2 linked regions of the Coturnix japonica genome follow. The protein of the gene in region 1 purifies or fractionates together with the protein of each later gene. This does not show direct contact. Links are inferred from orthologs where the notes say so. Each region holds a gene or a part of one and is shown on either strand. Other genes may lie near its edges.

What was found.
Region 2: the proteins of DUSP10 (region 1) and MAPK9 purify together in Homo sapiens (affinity purification with mass spectrometry; 3 studies listed by BioGRID and IntAct, with this or other methods). This does not show direct contact. The link is inferred for Coturnix japonica from reciprocal best matches to the Homo sapiens genes DUSP10 and MAPK9.

What each region holds. Positions count from the first base shown.
Region 1 is NC_029518.1:15,954,007-15,963,785, forward strand, and holds part of DUSP10 (dual specificity protein phosphatase 10), read left to right. Parts: intron 1-4,963; coding exon 4,964-5,338; intron 5,339-8,009; coding exon 8,010-8,275; 3' UTR 8,276-9,779. UniProt on the Homo sapiens protein: Protein phosphatase involved in the inactivation of MAP kinases. Has a specificity for the MAPK11/MAPK12/MAPK13/MAPK14 subfamily. It preferably dephosphorylates p38.
Region 2 is NC_029528.1:4,154,972-4,165,480, reverse strand, and holds the start of MAPK9 (mitogen-activated protein kinase 9), read left to right. Parts: upstream 1-4,728; 5' UTR 4,729-4,842; intron 4,843-5,077; exon of another isoform or gene 5,078-5,502; intron 5,503-8,439; 5' UTR 8,440-8,492; coding exon 8,493-8,614; intron 8,615-9,154; exon of another isoform or gene 9,155-9,283; intron 9,284-10,509. Other genes in the region: GFPT2 (glutamine--fructose-6-phosphate aminotransferase [isomerizing] 2), read left to right, coding at 1-3, 236-393, 522-636, 1,237-1,364, 2,000-2,167, 2,570-2,731, 3,356-3,400. UniProt on the Homo sapiens protein: Serine/threonine-protein kinase involved in various processes such as cell proliferation, differentiation, migration, transformation and programmed cell death.

The sequences.
Region 1 (9,779 bases):
AAGCTGTTCTTTGTGAACTATGTTTACTTTCACTTTTTTGTTGTTTGTTTAAAGTTTAATCTTTTGCGGCAGGGCTGATGCCAAATGCCGTGTGGGTGATGGGGGAAGAAGCCCTGCAGTGGGTGGTTTGCAGACAGGTGAGAAGGACTGGAAAGGGAGACCTAACTCACACATTGGTAGCCACGCAAATACAAAAGTCTTAAGTTATTTGTATCTGTGTTCTCCCACCCCCAGTTCTCCAAAATCAGTGTTGATTCTTGAGGGGGTACTTACGTTGCGAAAGGATGGTAAATGAGGATTCTGTTCTGAAGAGCTGAATATGGTTCCAGTTATGCTTGTTTGGTGTTTTTCCCCCGTTATTTAACAGCAGAAATGTACAAAAACAATCTTAGCATCCTTGTATTTTCCTTGTGCTCTGACTGAACTGAGGTGCCAAGTGGGCTTGATGCCTCAGTCTCCTTCCAGTGTTTTTTTTATGAAAATAAATAAAAACCCCATAGTTTTCTTGAAGTCAAAGGAGCTAGTTCTGATGTTGTGTAGGTGACTGTGGTCTGATAGGTCCCCACTAGTTTTGAGAGAGGAGAATTGTCCTTCTCATATCTGCTTCCTGTTGCGTGGACCAAATATATTGTCTTCAACCACAGCACAACCCTAGATCTCTTCTCAGCAGTGAGCATGAACCTGGCTGTGTTGAGGGAAGGATGTCCATCTTGGATAACAGGAGCACTCCTGCCATACTTGAGTTAGCCCCATTGCTCCAAGAGGTCTGGGAAGTACTGTTCTCAGAAGTGTCCTGAGCATTACGCATCATGTAGGCCTACCCCTGCTTGAGGTAAAAGCAGAGGGAGGCTGAGGAAGTACTGCAGGAGAAATATGGTGGGAGAGCATAAAGGAAGTCCCTTTCCATGTCATCTGGTGGAGGTAGGACTGGTGGAGCTCTGCTTGGGTTATAGCCCAGATTCAAGGCCGTACATTTCTGCAGGCCATGGGTTGATATTGTGAAGACGTGATCCCAATGGTTGTCCACATCCTGAGAATGGCTTTGGCCATGACTGGCAGAGAGCTCTGCTTCAACCTGTAAAGCTGCTTTTCCCTTGGGGAAGGAAGTGAGCTGTGATAGATTTGCTGCTGAAAGCGCACCCAAGCATGCAGAGAGGATGCATAACAGCACGACCCAGATGAGCTCATGCTTGCTAGCGGGTGCCTTAGCACACCCTGCATATGCAGTGGGAGGGGGGGGCTGGGTGACACAGGGGTGACACCTGGGGTGACACAGGGCTGGGCACCCCCAACCCGCAGCACACCTCTGTTTGTACGGGCTCATGTCGCGTTTGCTTAACCTTGAGGCATCCTGCACTTTGAGTCGACTTGACACAAAGTCATCTGTTCATTAATAACACAGAAGCAGTTTAATTGTTGTCTTAGTGGAAAAATACATGAGACTGTCATCAGCTGTTGCTTCTGGCAATGCTTTCTGCAGTAATGTAAATAAATGAGGTCACAGGTTTAAAGGAACAGGCTGTACTCGCACAAATTCAGAGCGTCATCTTAAACGGATATGCACCAATTGCCTGAATGTCTTATATTGTGGTTCTGTGCTCATGCCAGAAATGTTAACTGCTTAAAGGTGTAACATTTTGACCTTAAACACAGACATGCTCAGCCGTAGGGCTTGGTTTGTTGTGTAGGCCCTGTCGCTGTCACACAGAGCAGAGCTCAGCGCTGCCCTCCGCTCCCTGTGAGGAGCTTCAGCCGCCATCAGGCCTCCATCAGCTCCTTTGCTCTGCGCTGAGCAAACCCAGCAGCCTCAGCTCTCCTCACACACCTTGTCCTCCAGGCCCTTCTCCATCTTTCTAGGCCTCCCTTGGACAACTCTCCAACATATCTTTTTCTGATAATTCACAGCCCTATGGGATTTCTGCTTTTGTTGCATGTGAATTTTGGTTTAGTGGTTTTGTTATGGTTGGGTTTTTTTTTTTGTTTTGTTTTGTTTTCTTTAGGTGGCTTTGTGGTATTGTAATTGAGGATGAGTGGATCCAAAAATCCATCTGAATAGCTTTCAAAGCTATATAAAAGGTCCGTTTGTCTGTGGGGATCACGTGTTCTGTCTAAATGTGGATCCTGCATCTTTAATCTGTCATGTAAAACAGAATGCGTGCAGATAAGATGTGTCGGTTTTGCTTTCTGTAAAGATGGCTGTTCCTATGCAAAACCAATCACCTTGTTTCTACTGTACGTTTTGTGTATGCTTTGAATTATGCTCACCTTTTCACGATGGCAAATGACAGCTGCTGTTTGGCATAACTTCTGTGTCATTTGCCCCTTCTGGATTTGCTCTGAGCTCTGGTTCCTGCCCAGCTGCTCACCTGGCCTCCAGAGCTGAGAATCCGCCTGCAGCTGCTGCGCGGCAGGGGTTCGGGAGGCATCATGCGAAATGTTTGCTCAGGCCTTTTGCAACCACCTGCCCACAGACAAGTATGAATAGCTGGAATGTATACAGTGCTGATTTGAAGCTTCCTCAAAGTTTTGATGTCTCAGACAATCCCTAGCCTGTGGTCATTTACTAACTGTTCTGGCAGGACAGAGCGGTGGAATATTTCACGCAGCTCATGCAGTGATAACTGTGAACATCTCTGGCCCTTCACATCAGTGGTGAGCAGAAGCACTGCCCGCTGGTGCGTTCCACTAGATATTAGGACAGGCTGTCTGCTACAGAGGTCCTGCTTCCTTCATTCCTTTCCTTATAGAAAAAGCTCTGAATATCCAAGTGTGCTGGGCATCCTTGCATGGCTGTTGCTTTGTTTGGGTGTGGGTAGGTTCAGGCTCCCTGACAACCCGCTCAGCAGCTGTTTTGGAGCAGCGTGTGGGATGTTCTCTGTATCTGTGTGAGGGCTGTCAAGCTGGCTGCCTGGTTCAGGTTTTTTACCATGTTCTGGTTATTAAAGCTATGTGATATCTTCAAAGATGGAGAAGACTGGTTACATGCACAGCATTCTGTAATGGTGAATAGTGGTAGTTGGCCTGTCTTCTAGCACTTTGCTTAGTCAGCGTGTTGCGCCTGAGAATTTGAATGTCCTAGTGAAGGTGGGCACACAGCTGCATGTGAGCCCTATGGCTGGAGCTCAGCACTACCGTGCATGCTGCTGGTCCTTCCCAGTGGATGTATTGCCTGTCTGCTGTGGCTGCAGTGGTGAAGGCTTTCTGTATTGCAGTTAGCAGCTGAAGATCTGCTTTTAAAACTCAGTTTACTTGTGTACTGGTGAGAGGCCATATGTTTCTTTGGACTGCTTTTTGGGGATCCCTATGTGTTCTGGGTGTTGTCTGAACAATTATTTAAGCTGAATGGATTGCTTGCCTATAAAGAAGCAGAGTAAGTGTCAGAGTAGGGTTGGGTTGACTGGAATGCGGTTAGGGTTCAGCCTTTAGCCTAAGCTGTTGGTTTGGGTGAGATGTCAGATGGCATCATCATGGTGACCCTGGTCTTCTCTGTTGTTCTTGAGCAGCCTGTGAAGACTTTGCAGCCTCCATAGAGGCCAGGTGGTTTAGTTAGCTGGAGAGCTCAGAGTTCTGTCCTTGTCTTTTCTTCTGCCCTGTTCCCTGTTACAACAGCTTTGTGAACAGAGATCTTTAAGGCAGATCTGTTTGTGCTTTATCCTGCAAACTGCAGAAACAGCTGAAGATCAGCAGGACGCAGGACTGCCTGTATATTGCAAGCCTTCAGAGGAAGGTTTGGGATTTAAAATTCACTCCATCGTACATGTGAGGTCTAACTGTGCTTGTTTCCCTCTTGTTGGCCAATTGCTGGCATATAGATAGTGTGCATGGGTTGTAGCTGGGCATCTCCCTTCTCAAAGCTGGCTGTGGCCTGGTGAGGGGCACTAATGCTGTCAGGCTCCAAGATGGGCCCTAGGTGAGTGCTGGCACCGAGCGGTTGGAGCTGTGGTGCTCAAGAGTTGGATGTCTTTCTGTCTGAACCAAAGCCTGTGTGACAGCGTGGCTTTAAAGTCTTCCTTTCGCTAGATCATTGTGAAAAAGCACAGAAAAGGCAAATAACCTTTTAGAAGGAGGGGGGAAAAAATAGCAGTATGGTGACAGCAGCATTTGTTTTGGCTGGAGTAACTCTTTCTAGTAATTTACATGTAGTTTTCCCCTTCCTGGAATTTCTTGGCTTTCATTTAGCAAAGTGCAGTTGAGCCCAAACACTTGGCTGGTCTCGGCACAACGCGTGGCCCCACGTACCCTGCTCCAACAGAAACCCACATGTCTGTGGGCAGCAGGGGGGCATGGCTGCCCTTCTCCTCCTGCCCCTCTCTTCCCAGGCGTGGAGGCGAGCCACCTGTTAACATTACATCATTGGCTCCCAAGAACGCCTTCGTACCAAAGGCCTGAAACAAAGTGGTTCTTCTTGTATTGTTTGCGCTCAAAGAGCTGATGTCATGCCAGCTGATGTCATTGTGTGCTTTGTGTAATCGCTATGGAAACTGGGCAGGTGGGGAGCCCGGGGCTGATGTAATTGCCGAATGAGGTGTAGAAAGAAGCTCTGCTTTTCTTCCTAGCTCTGCAGCCACTCTCCTAGAGGGGGGGAGGTGGGAGGGGAGAAAAAAAAGGGGAAATTGCTGCTTGAAAAAGCCAGCAGTGTGACTTGCAGTAGATCCAAGGGGAGCACAAGCCAAGAAGTGACTTCTCCCTTCCCCCTCGGACCCATTTCCCACCCATATGAATGTCCTAAAAATAACCCTCTAGATATTTTCAGGCAGCTAGGGCAGAAAAAGGAGAGCTGTTTGCCCCATGTTAGGCAAGCACCTTGGTGGTTGGTACGTTTCAAGGTGCAGCATTGCTTTGTCCAACTGCACGGGAATGTGCTGTTGTCAGGAGTAAAGGCTGCAGCTGTCCCTTGTCCCAAGCACTGCAGGTGCCCTGTGGAGATCTCTAACCACAATATCTGCTTGGTCTCTCTCCCCAGGGGGACTCAGCGGTTTCAAGCAGAACCATGAAAACCTCTGCGATAACTCCCTCCAGCTGCAAGAGTGCCCGGAGGGGGGAGGTGGCGGTGCGTCCGCAGTGCCCCCCACACTACCTCAGTCCATCCCCACCACGCCGGACATCGAGAATGCCGAACTCACCCCCATCCTGCCTTTCCTCTTCCTCGGAAATGAGCATGATGCTCAGGACTTGGAGAAAATGCAGAGGATGAACATAGGCTATGTAATCAACGTGACCACCCACCTGCCCCTGTACCATTACGAAAAAGGCATGTTCAACTACAAGCGGCTCCCAGCCACTGACAGCAACAAGCAGAATCTCAGGCAGTATTTTGAAGAGGCTTTTGAGTTCATTGGTAATTATGCTTGACTGGAACTACTTTCTCCCCCCCCTCCCCTCACCTATTACAAGAATCTGGAATGAATTTTGTGCTTTGCTAACTACCCCAAAGGCTGTGTAAGGTCACATTTACTTTTGTTTAGATTGTCAGAAATACTGAGCACCTCGTGTTTCTGCTGATTCTCATTTCTGGCACATCTGACTAAGTAGCCCAGAGGTACAATTTTATCCATTGATAGCAGTGCCTACCTCTAACCCTCCAAATTTGGGTCTTTTCCACCCCTGCTTCTCCCAGCTGAGATTTTTGTCATTCCCTCTTTATGATTCCTTTGCATTTCCTAGTCTTCGCAGTGGCTTCTAGCCAAGTTTTTGTAGTTACTATTTTTAATGACAGCTGAGTCTTCCCTAACTCAGTTTTATGAGAGAACTGACAAACTTTCACACTCCACTTATTTTATCATTAGATTTGTAACTTCAGTGTATGTGTGGGCGAGTGGATCGCAGTGAAAACTATTATTAATAAGCTTCCAATTCCTGTAGGCTGTGAGACAGTTCACTGTGAAAATACAGCTCTATCTGAAACAGGGGAGGTAGCTCAGGAAATGATATTACCTGTGTCAGTCTAAACCTCGCTGTGATTCACACAGCATATACCTCATCCATTTTGATCATCGAGGCTCTGCATTCAGCTCTGGTCGTCTGTACTCAGCCCAGACAACCTTCTTAAGTGGAGCTGGTCATTGAGGATGTTAAGTAATACTGGAAGCTTGTGAGGACCTTTCCTTGCTCTTCTCAATGTATCTGTGGGCAGCTTCCTGCAGTGCACACGCACAGCTCAGCCTTTTGCAGCACTGTGGATGTCTGCTGGTGTTTATCCAGTAGCAGTTTGTGTGTTCAGATGTTTCCTGAAACATCCTGGTGTTGGGAAGGAACCATGGCCATGAATTATTATTTTTTTCCCTCTTGCTGAAGCTGGGCTAATCTTATTATCAATAGTTCAGGTTTGATAGTGGAAGCCAAGATGACAACAGCGTACCTATTTACCACATCACAGCTTAGGTCCTTAGCTAACCCCATGGACTTATTGAAGGGGACTCGGAGCTGTCTTCCTTGATTCCTGCTCTCAAAAATAGACTGTGTTTATGGCTCCTGGATGAGAGCATGGGTGCACAGCTCCTCTGGAACTTCAGCCTGCTTGTGCTGGCTCTGTGGGGTGCTCTTGGGCTCACTGAGGATCCAGCCCTGCTTGTGAAGCTGGGGCCTAAGGTCGGAAACCCAGGCTCAGCATATTCTGATCCCATCTGCCTTGGAGCTGGGTCTCACTGCTTGGAAGCAGGCAGCTCTTGGGTGCTGCTAGTGCTGTCTGTGTTCTGGTTAGCAGAGGATCATTGTGCTGACACATACAATCTGTAGTCACATTATTTCAGTGAAGGTGAGTAAGCAGAACACTGCTTATACCATAGTTTTGATGGCAGGCAGCATTAGAACTCAAATAGAACTCAATGTTAGAGCTCAACAACTCTTAAGTTAACTCTTAAGTTATAGACTGTATGTTTTGGGTTTTTTTTTAATTGGTTTGATGACCTTACTAAGGGCAGAGAAAGCAGCCTTGTTCTGAAAGCGTTTAGAAAGTATTTTGAAACCCATTTTGCTTTCCCCTTCGATAATTATAGCTTGAGGGGCTAGCTTTGTTTTTAATAAACAAATATTTCTCCACTGAGGTTTTTCTCCTTAGCAAATTCAGCCAGTCAAAGTTTTCCCTCCCTCAGGGTAAGCTTTTTTAATTTCATTTGAGACAATAGGGAAATATTTAAACAGTAGGTCATTGGCAGGTATCTATTTAAATAAATTAGAAAATGGACGAAAGTTTAGTTAAGATTAAGGGCATAGGAAGTGAAGCTCAAAAAGTGTGTTACGCTATGTTTGGAGTTTTGAGTTTCTTTAAATACTGGCTGATAGAAATATAGAATTCAGCTTCATTTAAGTTTTCATAGTGCAGGTGGGACTTGTGGAATAAGGTGCACTTTATTTTTGGTGGGTTTGGGTTCACACCAAAAGCAGTAAGCTAAATGCATGTTCTCCAGATTAATGGAAGAAAGCAATATACTGAAGGGTGATATCTCGAAAGCTTTATCTTTCATTTTCACATAAGCTGTGGGAAACAAAGATGGAATGGCAGTGACTTCCTCCTCTTTCCTGGCTTCTGTACTTCCAGGAGCTTTTTTTCTCTCTTGCATCTCTTTGTGCAGATGATGTGTTTTGGTGGAGAGCACTTGTACATCTGACTGCACATGTGTGTTGTCCTTTTCCTCCTTCCCCTCCTTGTTCTTTCCTTGCTGCTCCTAGGGAGATGTTGGGGAGAGGTAGCATTTGGCAGAATGAGGTGCTCCAAATGTTAAGGGGCAAAGATGACAGGAGCCTTTTCAGACAACAAAAGCTGATTAAAGTTGGGCTGTGAGGCAAAGATCTAGTTGAACCAGAGCTTGCTGTGCAGACTGGCCTAATGTTTCACATGAAGTAGCTTTGACTCCCTACAGGAGGGTAGACTAGGGAGGAAGAGGGAGGAAATGCTGCTGTGCTTCAAGCCAAATAGAGGAACTTTTAACATAAAGTTACTTCTGATTGCACTGAGCTTTGCTAATTTACTAAATAGCAGAGATCTTACTTTCTTCTGTTCTTGTTTTCAGAGGAAGCCCATCAGTGTGGAAAAGGTCTTCTCATTCACTGCCAGGCCGGAGTGTCCCGATCCGCCACCATAGTTATTGCATACTTGATGAAGCACACGCGCATGACCATGACGGATGCCTATAAATTTGTAAAAGGCAAACGACCAATCATTTCCCCTAACCTTAACTTTATGGGGCAGTTACTGGAGTTTGAGGAAGACCTAAACAATGGCGTCACACCCCGAATCCTCACACCAAAGCTGATCGGCGTAGAAACTGTTGTGTGATGGTGAAGCTGCAAAGAAGGGGTTCAATGAAGGGGGTTAGCCCGTTTTTCACCTGATTTAGGGCAGTCAGGGGTGGGCTGTGGGGTTTTTTTGTTTGTTTGTTTTTTTAGCTTTTGGGCGGGGAGGGGGTTGCAGCAAACGTTTTTGTGAACAAAAACCTTTTTTTGTAAGGAAAGGTTTTTAAAAGAGATCCAAGAACTTGGCCATGTTTGGGATGCGGTTGTGATTTCCTTCCTGGGCACTGATAGAGCAGAGAAGCTTTGGAGCGAGAGGAGTAATTTTTAAAATCCAAAAGCCAAGAAGAAATATTGGGCTTTTTTTTTTGTTGTTGTTTGTTTGTTTGTTGGCTGTTGTTTTTTTCCTCCTCTTCCTCTCCGGCTCCTCATAGAGTTTATGGCTAAGTAGTCTGTGCAGGTTCATAGACTGAAGAAACCTAAGCTGAAGACAAAACACAAACAGCCAAAACAAAGCAGAAAAAAAACTTGCTGAAGCATGAGGGCCTTCGTTCTGCAAAGGCATTGCTACAGATCACCTGGCAAATCACTCACTGACACAAAGGAGATCAGAGCAGCTTAAAAAGTCTGCAGGCACTTTTCACACTCCTGACTCAAACTAAAAAATGAAAAGAAAATGAGTTTATTCGGCGTGTTTCATGTTCCAGTTCTATTTTTCTATCTTGGGGTGTAAGGTTTTAACAGAAAGGGACTTGGATCATTCTATGCCATATGCCTTCACTGGCTTCTTGTGCAATAATAATTTGGGATTTATTTTAAGTGTTCAATCCAATTAGAGTTGGCTGCCCACTAATAATAAGATAATTTTTAAAGTCTAATAGTGCAATGGCAGCTGGCTTGGTTCAGAAGGGATAGGTGAAAGTAATTATTTTGTTCCTTTATATGATTTTGATCCTAGTTACAGTGCCATAAACCTTGTTACATATGTATATCAGAATGTACAAAAATCGAGAACGAGCAAAGTTTATTTAAAAATATTTTTCGCACAAAATCTTGGTGTGTTTCAGTTGTCTATGTAAAAGAAATTTGATTATAAAAGCAAAAAATCCTTTGGGAAATGTGTGTCCTTTTATTTCTTTAGCAGTTTTCCATTTGCTTTCTGTCGGATGGGCTTTTGGTTGTGCTTGATTCTTTTTTGGGGGGGGGAGGGATTTGTTTTTGTTTGCTTTTTCTTTTGCAGTGCACAATGCCCATTGACAAAGCTGGTATCTTTTGTTTGACATCTCTTCTTCAGTGTCCTTTTCCTGTCCTCTGCTGGTGGAACGTGTTTTCTGTATTCCTTTCTGTACTCTCACATCCCTTGCTTTCTGTAGCCATGTTTTTAATCTCCTGGAAATACACCATACTTGGAGCTGTTCAGATGAATTTGCATGACTGAGGTGGGCTTTTTGGGACAGACCTACAGCTCAACAGTTAGTTAAAGAAAATAACAAGAAATGAACGTTTTCCAATGATTCCTTTCCATCTTCCTGCAATTAGCTTTCCTTATG
Region 2 (10,509 bases), on another chromosome or scaffold:
CAGGTGAGCTGCTGCTGTTTTACTGAGTGCAAACTAAAGAGAAATGAAAAACAGTGTTATTACTTTCTGAATGTTGCAAAAGAGGATGATTCAAATACGTAGATAATAAGTGAGTGCTGAAATGTTTGTTTTGAGCAGGGATACAGTTATTCAGAACACAATAATTTCTTCTGTAGTATTTTTCAGATGTTGCTATCCCATGTGAACTTTAAGTCAAGTTGTGAATGTTTTCCAGGTGAAACTGCAGATACACTTATGGCTTTGAGGTATTGCAAAGAACGCCGTGCTCTAACAGTTGGCATCACAAACACAGTTGGAAGCTCAATATCCAGAGAGACTGACTGTGGTGTGCATATCAATGCAGGACCTGAGATAGGTGTGGCAAGCACAAAGGTAACAGCTGTTTGGTGTTTGATTTTCATACTTTACCACTATGTAATCCAATTATAGTTTTAATTGTAGCACTTCAGATTGAGATCGTACTAATTCACTTCATGCTAAATGCTCTGTTTTTTCTGCAGGCTTATACCAGCCAGTTTGTGTCTCTTGTGATGTTTGGCCTCATGATGTCTGAAGACAGAATTTCTTTGCAGAAAAGAAGAAGGGAAATCATTAGTGGACTAAAATCATTGCCAGGTATATTGATACTTACTTTGGTATCTTGTTTGATGGATAATATAGAAATATAAAATATTACTCAAGAAAAAACTTATAAATATTTGTTTCACTCTTTCTTTCTCCTTGAAAAGTAGGTAATGTAAGAAGAATAGGCTATTAGCTTCTACACTACTTGCCAGTTTTACAAATAGACATCCAAAAAACTTGGCAGGAAGATGAGAATTCCAGTAGGAGAGCTTTGTTTGAGAATTATTCCTTGATCTCCTACACACGTAATCTAAAATTTATAATGCCTTTCACTTTAAACCGGTATAGATGAAACAAAACTAATCCAAACTGACTTTAAAACAGATGTTTGGAACTTCCTTTAGTATTTCAAATGGGATGCATAGTCTCTGCTTAAACTAATAGTCATCTTAAACTTGTTACTTTATGTAAGGCTGGATGAAGCATGTTTAAAGCACTGTCAAAATTGTACAGATAGAAAGTTAATGCCTGAATTATGCTAATGGCTTGTTATAAAAAGCCATTAGAGTATCATACTACAAAAAGCTAGGAAATACTATTTTTTTCCAGTTGATGGAGATTTCTATATGTGCTTTTTATGTGCTCCAATAGAGATGATTAAAGAAGTCTTGTCCTTGGATGAGAAGATACATGACTTGGCTCTTGAACTATACAAACAAAGGTCACTGCTGGTTATGGGTCGTGGATATAATTATGCCACTTGTCTGGAAGGAGCTCTGGTAGGAATCTCTCAAAGTTTGGATACTAATTGAAATGAGCTTTTGTTTCTGCAGCAATTTTTCTCATATTTATTTACATTTTAATTCTACTGTTCTAAAACTGCTGCCATGTATAACTAGAATGTTTAATCCTATTGCACTGAACACATACATAAGGTGAATTTGGTGTCATTCTTAAATACACTTAAGGAGTGTATTTAGAAAATTAAAAAACCCTACAACTTAATATGACTTAAAATGTTGGCCTGTTTGAAAATGTCCTCCTAAAACACTGCATTCAGTATGCTGGCGTTCAGGCAAGATGTTCATGCAGGAAACTGCTAAATTAATTACAAATATCCTCATGTAATGGAGCTGTATCCATCTCTCATAGAAGTTAAAAATGTGGTGCTAGATGTTAAGCTCTTAAAAACTCCTCTTGATTAGTCCATTTAATTCTCTGCAAATGTGTGTGCATGAGCAAGAGTAAGCTCCATTTCTACCGGCAGCCTGCTGGAGATCTCAGTGTACAGGAGTGTCTGTTCTAGCCTTGAAAATAGCAACTGCATTTGATTGATGGATGTTTTGCTGCTTGCAGCTTGTATTTCTAGTCTAATTTACTTCTAACTTTCTGATATTTGCATTTGTTTCATTAGAAAATAAAAGAAATCACCTATATGCACTCTGAAGGTATCTTAGCTGGTGAGCTTAAACATGGTCCACTAGCCCTAATAGATAAACAAATGCCGGTTATCATGGTCATAATGAAGGATCCTTGCTTCACCAAGTGCCAGAATGCTCTGCAACAGGTCACAGCTCGACAGGTAAGCTGTAAAGTAATGCAGTGTTGTAGGGAAGGAAATTGTGCACACTAGATTTTTGCTGAATACGTTTCAGAGGCAGGATGGTAATGGCATTTCTTTCTACTTAAAAAGTTATGATTAAGGTGCTATTTTAGCATCATAGCTCACAGTTTAACACCAGTAGAGATAAGTGGTCATATGTAGATGTTTTGTGGTCTGGAATCAAAGAGAATAATGTTAAAGCTGTACTGATTGTTGCTTGAGACTTGAATGTTTTCTGTGAATGGCAAAAACCATTATGCAGGTCTAACATTATCCTGGTTAGCTATCTTTGTTATTTTTCAAATACACTACAGATAGACTGTGAACTAATATATAAGAGCAGCTCTAAGCCAGCTCTTAACTATAGAACTTTATTTTCAGGGTCGTCCAATCATCCTGTGTTCTAAGGAAGACACGGAAAGCTCAAAATTTGCCTACAAAACCATTGAGCTGCCTCATACGGTTGATTGCCTTCAAGGAATCTTGAGTGTTATTCCTCTCCAGTTGCTTTCATTCCACCTGGCTGTTCTCAGAGGATATGATGTAAGTGCTTTCTATGTATAGCATTCCAGTTAGAGCAGTTTTGCACTTCCTCCTACCAATGTTAAGGCAGATATAAGGTTATACGGCATTTCTAACAAAGAACTAGAATAATTGCTGCGACTGGTACTTAGTGTAGTAGTAGAGGTGGCATTTCACTGCCAATTCTTCAGCCTTTTCTTGAATTGGTGTGGAAGGTGGTTCTAAAAAATGTAAAGATTGTTTGCTTAGTTTGATTTGTGAAGAATGCAGATAATATTATTCCGGAAGCTAAGCATTGAAGTGTGACATTGCACTCTAACAGAGGACAGTTTATTACTTTTTATGGCTTAGTTTGTTGACTCTGTCTAGGTGTGTCAGTTTGGTAATGATGACCCCATTGGAAAGGCATCCTATGCAAAACAATATATTCAGATTTGTTGGGAGGTTTTTGCAAGTAAGGATGCATTCAACAGTGAGTTATGTACAGATCCGTACTCTTTTGTGTGCATTAGCGAGTCCAGAATAAAGCAGAACTCAGTAGCAATCCTTTTCTAAATAAGCAAAAAACACCAAACCAAAACAGCACAAAAGCAAGAATGCCAGTTGTGTTCTGTCACGCACTGAAAGCCTGTCTTTTCATTCTAGGTGGATTTTCCAAGGAATCTGGCCAAATCGGTTACTGTAGAATAACAGCCAAGAACAGTGGATATTTTTGTTACCAGACTCTGTTATGCTTGTGGAAATGTGTTGTTCTGAATCAATAGGTACACGTTTTTCAAAGGGAATGAGAGTGATAACTGGCAGGTGTCAGAAGGATTTACCTTGCAGCTTTAAAAGCTTCCAATGTGCCTTGTTACCCAAGTGCTTTTGCTCACAGCAAATGTTTCTAAGTCCCAAAATTGCCAAAGGATAAGATAAAAATCATTGTTTACACATGATATACTGAATGAACTTTTCTACTGTGCAATATATATATATATACAGCTCTCTTCAGAGTAACTGTGAACGTTTTTTTTTTAGCCTACACTACTTAACTAGTTTTAAAGATAAAGTATTTATAAGTACAACTGTATAGCTTTTCTTAAGTTATTTTTTTAGTATGTTGCTTATCGATAGCATTGGTAATAATGAGCTGACATGCTCAGCGCTCATGGCAAGTTTGTGTACAGTTTTATAGGGGTTTTTCTACTACATCCTCAAACTGGAAATAGGTTCTTCTCTTCCTCCCATCTTCCTACCCCCCTCTCCTATGGTTTACACCTGGTTTGTATTTCACCACCTTTTGCAAAGAGTTCCTGTGGCTGTCAATTCTCAGCTGTGTTTTAGCTCCTCCTCCTGCTTTCAGCTGTAACACCATGAGAAGGCCCAGCAGCGTTTTGTATCTCATTGCCTGCTTTGTACAGGGCAATTAAATAAGGGAACTGCCAAAATAAGGGTACCTTCCAAAAGGTGCTTATGATTGAAGTGTGTACAATGTAATTAATATGCAATTAAAGAAAATATTATACAGATTCTTCTTGTCTTGGGGCTTTTCTTTTCCTTCCCCTTAGTCATTTGTATGCACCAATGCTCTGACACCAGAAGGAGGAGGGCTGTTGTGTTATGTCAAGAACTGAACATCACCATATAAGAAAACACACGTGTGGCACGTATGTTTGGTAAAGAGCACTATGGGTGTATTTGAATAAATGCTCCTGTTTTGCTGTGCTGGAGAGACAGTCCCACCTACAGTCCCACTTTGGTGCCACCGCTGCCCTGTGGTGACGTCAGAAGCGCGGTGACAAGCTGACGTGTGGTGATGACATCACGCCGGAGGGCCGAGACCGCGCCTGGATTGGTTGAGCCTGCCCGCTCCCACTGCGGTCCTTCCCCGCTGCCCTGCCTTATATAGCGCCAGCTCTGTCCCGCCTCCAGCCTGCCATTGGCTGAGCATCGCGGTATGGGCTCGCGATTGGTCAGAGTTGCTGTCCGTCAGCGCGCTGAGGCCTGGCGCGGCCTGCGCGGAGCACCGGGAGGCCATTGTGGCTGTGGCGGCCCTGCGCGCCGGAGGAGCTGCAGGCGGCGGCGGAGGTGGCTGCGCGGCTCGCGAGCGCCGCGCCCCGTCCCGCTGGAGCCTGACCGGGAGAGAGACGGTGAGGGAGGCCGCGAGGAGGGCGGTGCGGGCGGCGGGGCCGGAGCCGGAGCTCCCCGATCTGAGCCGAGCCCCCCGGCCCTGTGCCGAGAGGACTCCCTGGCTCTTCCCGCGGGCCCCGCCCGCCGAGGCGCAGCCGGGGTTGGGCCGGGCTTCCCCGCGTGTCGCTGACCCGGGCCCGGCCCTGCGGAGCGGGGAAGGAGGCGGAGGGGCCGAGCTGGGGGCCCCTTCCTTCTTGTCGGCCGTGCAGTGCCCCTCGCCCTTCCCGTGCCGCATCGCTGCCCCTGCCCTCAGCGCCCCGTGCCGGCCCTGGCAGCGCTCGGTGCTGGCGGGGCGGGGGCCGCGCTGTGCTGCTCCGCGACGGAAACCGCACGAGTGAAGGAATCCCGTGAGCTCGCTGGGCTCTACGGCTGCTCCGTGATTTCACAGCGCAATAATTGCACGGCACACACACGTTTGAACTTTTCCCCTCCGTCTCCCGGCCGAGGTGCAGCCAGTATTTGCTTTCGGCGTTTGTTTAGCAGCTAAATGACAGCGGGGCTGGTGGCTGTCGGTGTGATCTGCTCACTAATAGCTTCGGCCGGTTAAAGACAGAGGTGCTTCTCAGAGAACTGAGCGGATAAAGCCAGTATTGGTTAATTTGCAGAGTACGTTTGTAAAGGTGAATATTCAGTGTGGTTTCCCTATCTTTTCATACTCCGTGTGTGTGTGTGTGCTCCGTGGGTTCTTTCTGTCTCCAGTGCAGTTTAGCCTGAAGTTCAGTTTCTTGATGTTCATCGTGATAACATTTCTGTATCCAAAACAGCGCAGGGAATGTTCCTAGCTGTTCCAACCTGTTTGCTTCAGAAGCTTTTGACGTGGAAAATATCCAGGGAATGGATCTGGTTAATAATAAGTTGCCATTTTAATAGGTGCCTTTTGCAGAGGTGACTGGTGCAGTGTGTACATACACTGTAGTGCGGTTGCTTCCAACCCCTAAATACTTCCTTGCTGCAGTTCTGTATGACAGCTGATACATTCATTGGGGGTAGGTTTGGTGTGTCTGTTTTCCTCTTTTTGATTGTTTTACTCTGCATGAACTGAGGCTGAACACCACTTTTGTAAGCGCTTGTGATCTCTATGCATAGAGTAAAATCAGCTTTGTGCTTTTTAGTTTTTCTGGTTGTATGAGCCCATTATTAAAACAGACACAGAAACCTGCACCCAATTTATCTGCCTCTCATGCGTGCTCAAAAATAGGAAAATTATCTTGAAGCACCGTAATTGAGTGCCCTTATCAATATGCAGAAGTATGTTTGCTGACTGTCCCATGAATGAATGACTCCCATGTCTGGCACTGCTCCTGTCTGCTGCAGCTCGGAAGCCATGAATGAAAATGTGCATTTCCTACATGGAAGTAATGCCAACTTCTCAAAGGATTCCTGCATGGGAGATGTGTGGGATGCATTATGTACCTGCTAAGGGGAGCAATGAATCAGATGGTCTCGGGTAGCAGTGTAACAGTTGGGGTTTAATAAACTTACTTGTCAGATGTACTTTTCCCTGTTGATGGGCAACCTTATTCAGTGGGTTTAGCCCCCAAATAGACACTGAGACTTAAATTATGTCAATACTTACAGTCTCGTGGCATTTAGTTTTGCATTAGTTTGTATATCTGAAGTAACCTGAGTCCTAACCAAGCAGCGTGCAGCCCATAGCATAGGGCTCAGAGAGGGGCTTGGTGCTCAGCACAGTGAGCTCCAGAGGATGTCAGAATACATAGAGCTTGTGTGTTGTGATTCACAAATCCCTCTTTGGGTCTTATCTAAAGAGCTTATCCTGGTCTTTAAACTGTTTTTCCAAGTGATGACTTTGTACAGATGAGATTTCTTACAGTGAGGTTTCTTTGGATCAGGATCACTTCCTTTTCCCTCTGCTTCTTTCTTTCAATGATCTTCATTAACCCATAAAGGAGTACCAGCATAGATCCCACATAACTAACAGGCCTAATTTGATTTCCAGAGTAATCCACATCTGCACTGTTTTCCCCCTCTTTAAGCCCTTTTCAGAGAGAGAATCTTGGCCTTTTCCTTAGTCTTGTCTTTCCAGCTGTGTCTGTGTTCCAGCATTTGGAGATATACAGAAAATACCAGGGCTGATCGGGGGTTGTTAATCAAAAACTGTGGTGCATCAGTGTCTATAGCTCTGGAATGATAAAAGACAGGAAGAGTGGGTTCATTCCTTACTGTCTAATAGCAGCTAGAGATGACCAGATTGAGTATTTACTTGAGAGAGGCCCATATTCTAATTCCTGAAGCTGCTAGAAGCTGCTCATGTAGCCCTGTGCCCTTCCAGGATGTGCTTCTGAGTTGCTGTCGAGGCTCTTCTGCTTTGCATGGGCTCTCCACTGTTCTGTAGACTGGTGAAGAGGGAGAGAATAACTGCTCTCTCTTTAGCTACAAGTGATGTAGCACAGCTGGGTGGTTAGGCCAGCTGCTTATAGGGGAGGTGATCTGCTTTCATTTCCTGTTTCGGGGAACTCTTGGCTTTGTAGTTTAGTCTGGGCTGTAATGGCATTACCTATTATGTTGCATGTGAAATTATGTGTGTCCACTACCTCAGTCTCAGGTGTAATTACCTACATCTAATTAATTACAGACAGATTTTAGTGTAGCACCAACATCTAGAGAGGGAGAGCCCATAACTTCCTTAGGGAATCTTGTCGAGCACCACACCTCTTCTACCTTTGCAAAGCAGGCTTTGTTTCTCCTTCTTCCCTTTCCTTCATATCTTCTAAAATGTCTAACCAGAATCTTTGTGCTCATCACCACATCCATTGTGTTCATACATTATTTCATTCCTCCTTTCTTTGGTCTTTTGTGCACTTCCTCCTCTAGTCTGTTTCTCATAAGTAACCCAGTTAACGAGATGTCCTTTCCCCTTGCTCCTTGCTGCCCTCTGGACTCTCAGAAAGTCCAGTTGCAGCTTTGAGAGCAAGGCAGATGAGAGGCAAACTGCAGTGTAACTTCCTGAATGGAATTGCTTTTTGCCTGCTGTTTGTTTTTGCCTTCATTAAAGGGGATTGTTAACATTCAAACAAAGCAGTCCTCAATCATCGTAATGCATTTGGGATAAAACTAACTGTTACAGTGTGGCTGGGTCTTTCAAGCTGTAGTACCAACTCCCTTAATTCTTGTAGGACTTGAAGTACACTAACTGATGGCATGGATGTCAATGTGTATTAAAGACGGGAGGAAGGAGTGCGGTGGTGATAGCAGTAACTCAGGGTTACGGAAGTTGGCTGAGTGCTGGAGTCTCCTACGAGGAGGAGAGAGTTGTTGCCTGAGGGTGTTGTTTGCTTTCACAATTGTTTACTTAGCTGCTTTTTGTGTTGGGGCTTGGAATGAGATGTTTGCTTACAGCTGGGAAAGGTGTGGTTATTTGTTGTCTCATCTGCAGGGGTTTTTCATTAGCAGTAGTTGTAAGTGAAGCTGAAATAATGCTTATCTAATAGTATGCTATTAAAAAATTCATATGTGTTAAAATATGCATAATCTATCTTCCATCTTGTCTGCCTGGAATTACTCAAATTGTACATTTGTTTTCTTTTTTCTTTAAGATCTTGAAGCCTGTACCAGGTCCTTGAGAGAGAAAACTACATGACACTACACCATGAGTGACAGTAAATGCGATAGTCAGTTTTACAGTGTTCAAGTTGCAGATTCAACATTCACTGTACTAAAACGTTACCAGCAATTGAAGCCCATAGGATCGGGGGCACAGGGCATTGTTTGGTGAGTAATAAACATTTTATTTAAACATAAAAAGCTCTAAATGCGTAACAAAATATGAATGTGTTCCTGATAGGGGTGCCAGGGTGTCCAGTATTATCAAAATCGATGAGCTTTGTTTCTTGCTACAGGGTTGTGAGGGACTAAATAGTTTCTAAAATACCTGCCTGCAGTAGTTCGTGTGGGGAACTAGCTTTTGTTTTGATTTTAGGGGAAAAGTAATGTTTGGATAACATCATAAATGAAGAGGGTCAACACATTTCCTTCTCATTAACCACTTTATTTTTGTTTTAGTTCTCACCTTCCCCATGTAGTTATGCTATTACAGTGTAAGGTATGACAATGAGATGGTGAGAGATTCTGAGTTTTACTCGTTTCTTCATCATAGCCCCCTTTCTTCCCCCCCTTTTATTCCCAATCACTCCTGTCCATTTCTAGGAGCCACCAATGCAGTGCCTTGCCATTAAATGGCAGGATGAGGCAGATCAGTGTCATTGTCACTCCATGGATTAACCAGGAAGTGATGCTGTGAGGGGTTGGGCTGGCCATCTCTTCCTTGCTGTGTCACCTCAGCTATGTGTCCAGCCTCATCTGGCCCAGGACGTGAGAGTCATTAGTCTGATCCTGAACCTTAGTCTCTTGTATGGCATCACACCTCTGGGCCAGCTAAAGGTAAACAATTTCAAATGTTTTTTAGACTGCAGCGGTCTATTCTGCATCACTTACTGCCAGCCCTTGTTTTGTCGGGCAAAACTTATTGGGTAACAGCAGCACTTCTTATCGATGTTATTTTACAATTCCATACATGAGGGAGCAAACAGATATACTTATTAAGTCTGTAATATCAGACTTAATCAGAAACGCGTGGTGTGTTGCTCGTGCTTTAAGCCCAGTCTGCTGTTTCTGTCTGCCTATAAATTCTGCAGGATAAGAGGGATGACTCATATTGCAAGCAGCCCTTTATGCAGCACCTGCCCATGACTTTCTGGCTTTTTTAAAACCTTAAAAAATGTTTTATACTTAGGAAAGGAGTGCTAACATGAAAAAATAAGTGAGATAAGAGCACCATATTTCATTCTTATTCAGTGCGTTGAGTGAGGAATGGGTAGGCGTGCTAGATCTTAGTACTGGTGTTTGGGTAAGCATTAGTGTGGTGCAAACATCTCTGAGTATAAATATTCTTGATGATATGCTTGTTCTAGATTGTATGTAAGGATTAAGAGTGGTTGTAGTTGCTTCTTTCATTGGAAGCAGTGCATTTCTGAATGACATGGCTTAAACGAGGCGTTGCTTCAAAACAGTTGGGGTAGTGCTAAGGTCAGTGTCTTGGGTGGAGAAAGGGATGATCTGATTTATTGACTTGTTTTGAGAAAACTTGATTTTTGGAACAACAGAATAAAACATTGCATAAATTCTTCATGTGAAACATCTGAACATTATGTCCAAGTTGAAGAAGGTGCAAAATCTAAATTTCTCTGTAAAAGTCCCTAAAATACCCAGGGGAAGTATGCAAAATGTAAGGGTACACAGTGCAGAAATCTCACCATAGGATGAGTGCCATCCTGTCATTTTTGGCTAGGAAAATCTTACTGTTATTTGTGTGTTGCGTAAATGAAATACAAAATGAGAACTCTAGAAAATGAAAAAGGAACTTGCTTGTTTTATGTAGAGTTTATTTGTGTATTTCATATACAAAGTGTGCTTCTATACGTGACTACTCACACTTCTTATGTTCTAGCATGCTCAAAACCTTAGAATCTATTTATCAATGAGTAACTGCTTGTACAAAATGATTTTGTTGAAAGAATTTTTGTTTGAGGCTTGATATTGATTTTTCCTTTCTTGCCCTGGATTTCAGATGGTTAAATAGTCAACCTGATTTTTCTGTCCCAACGAAG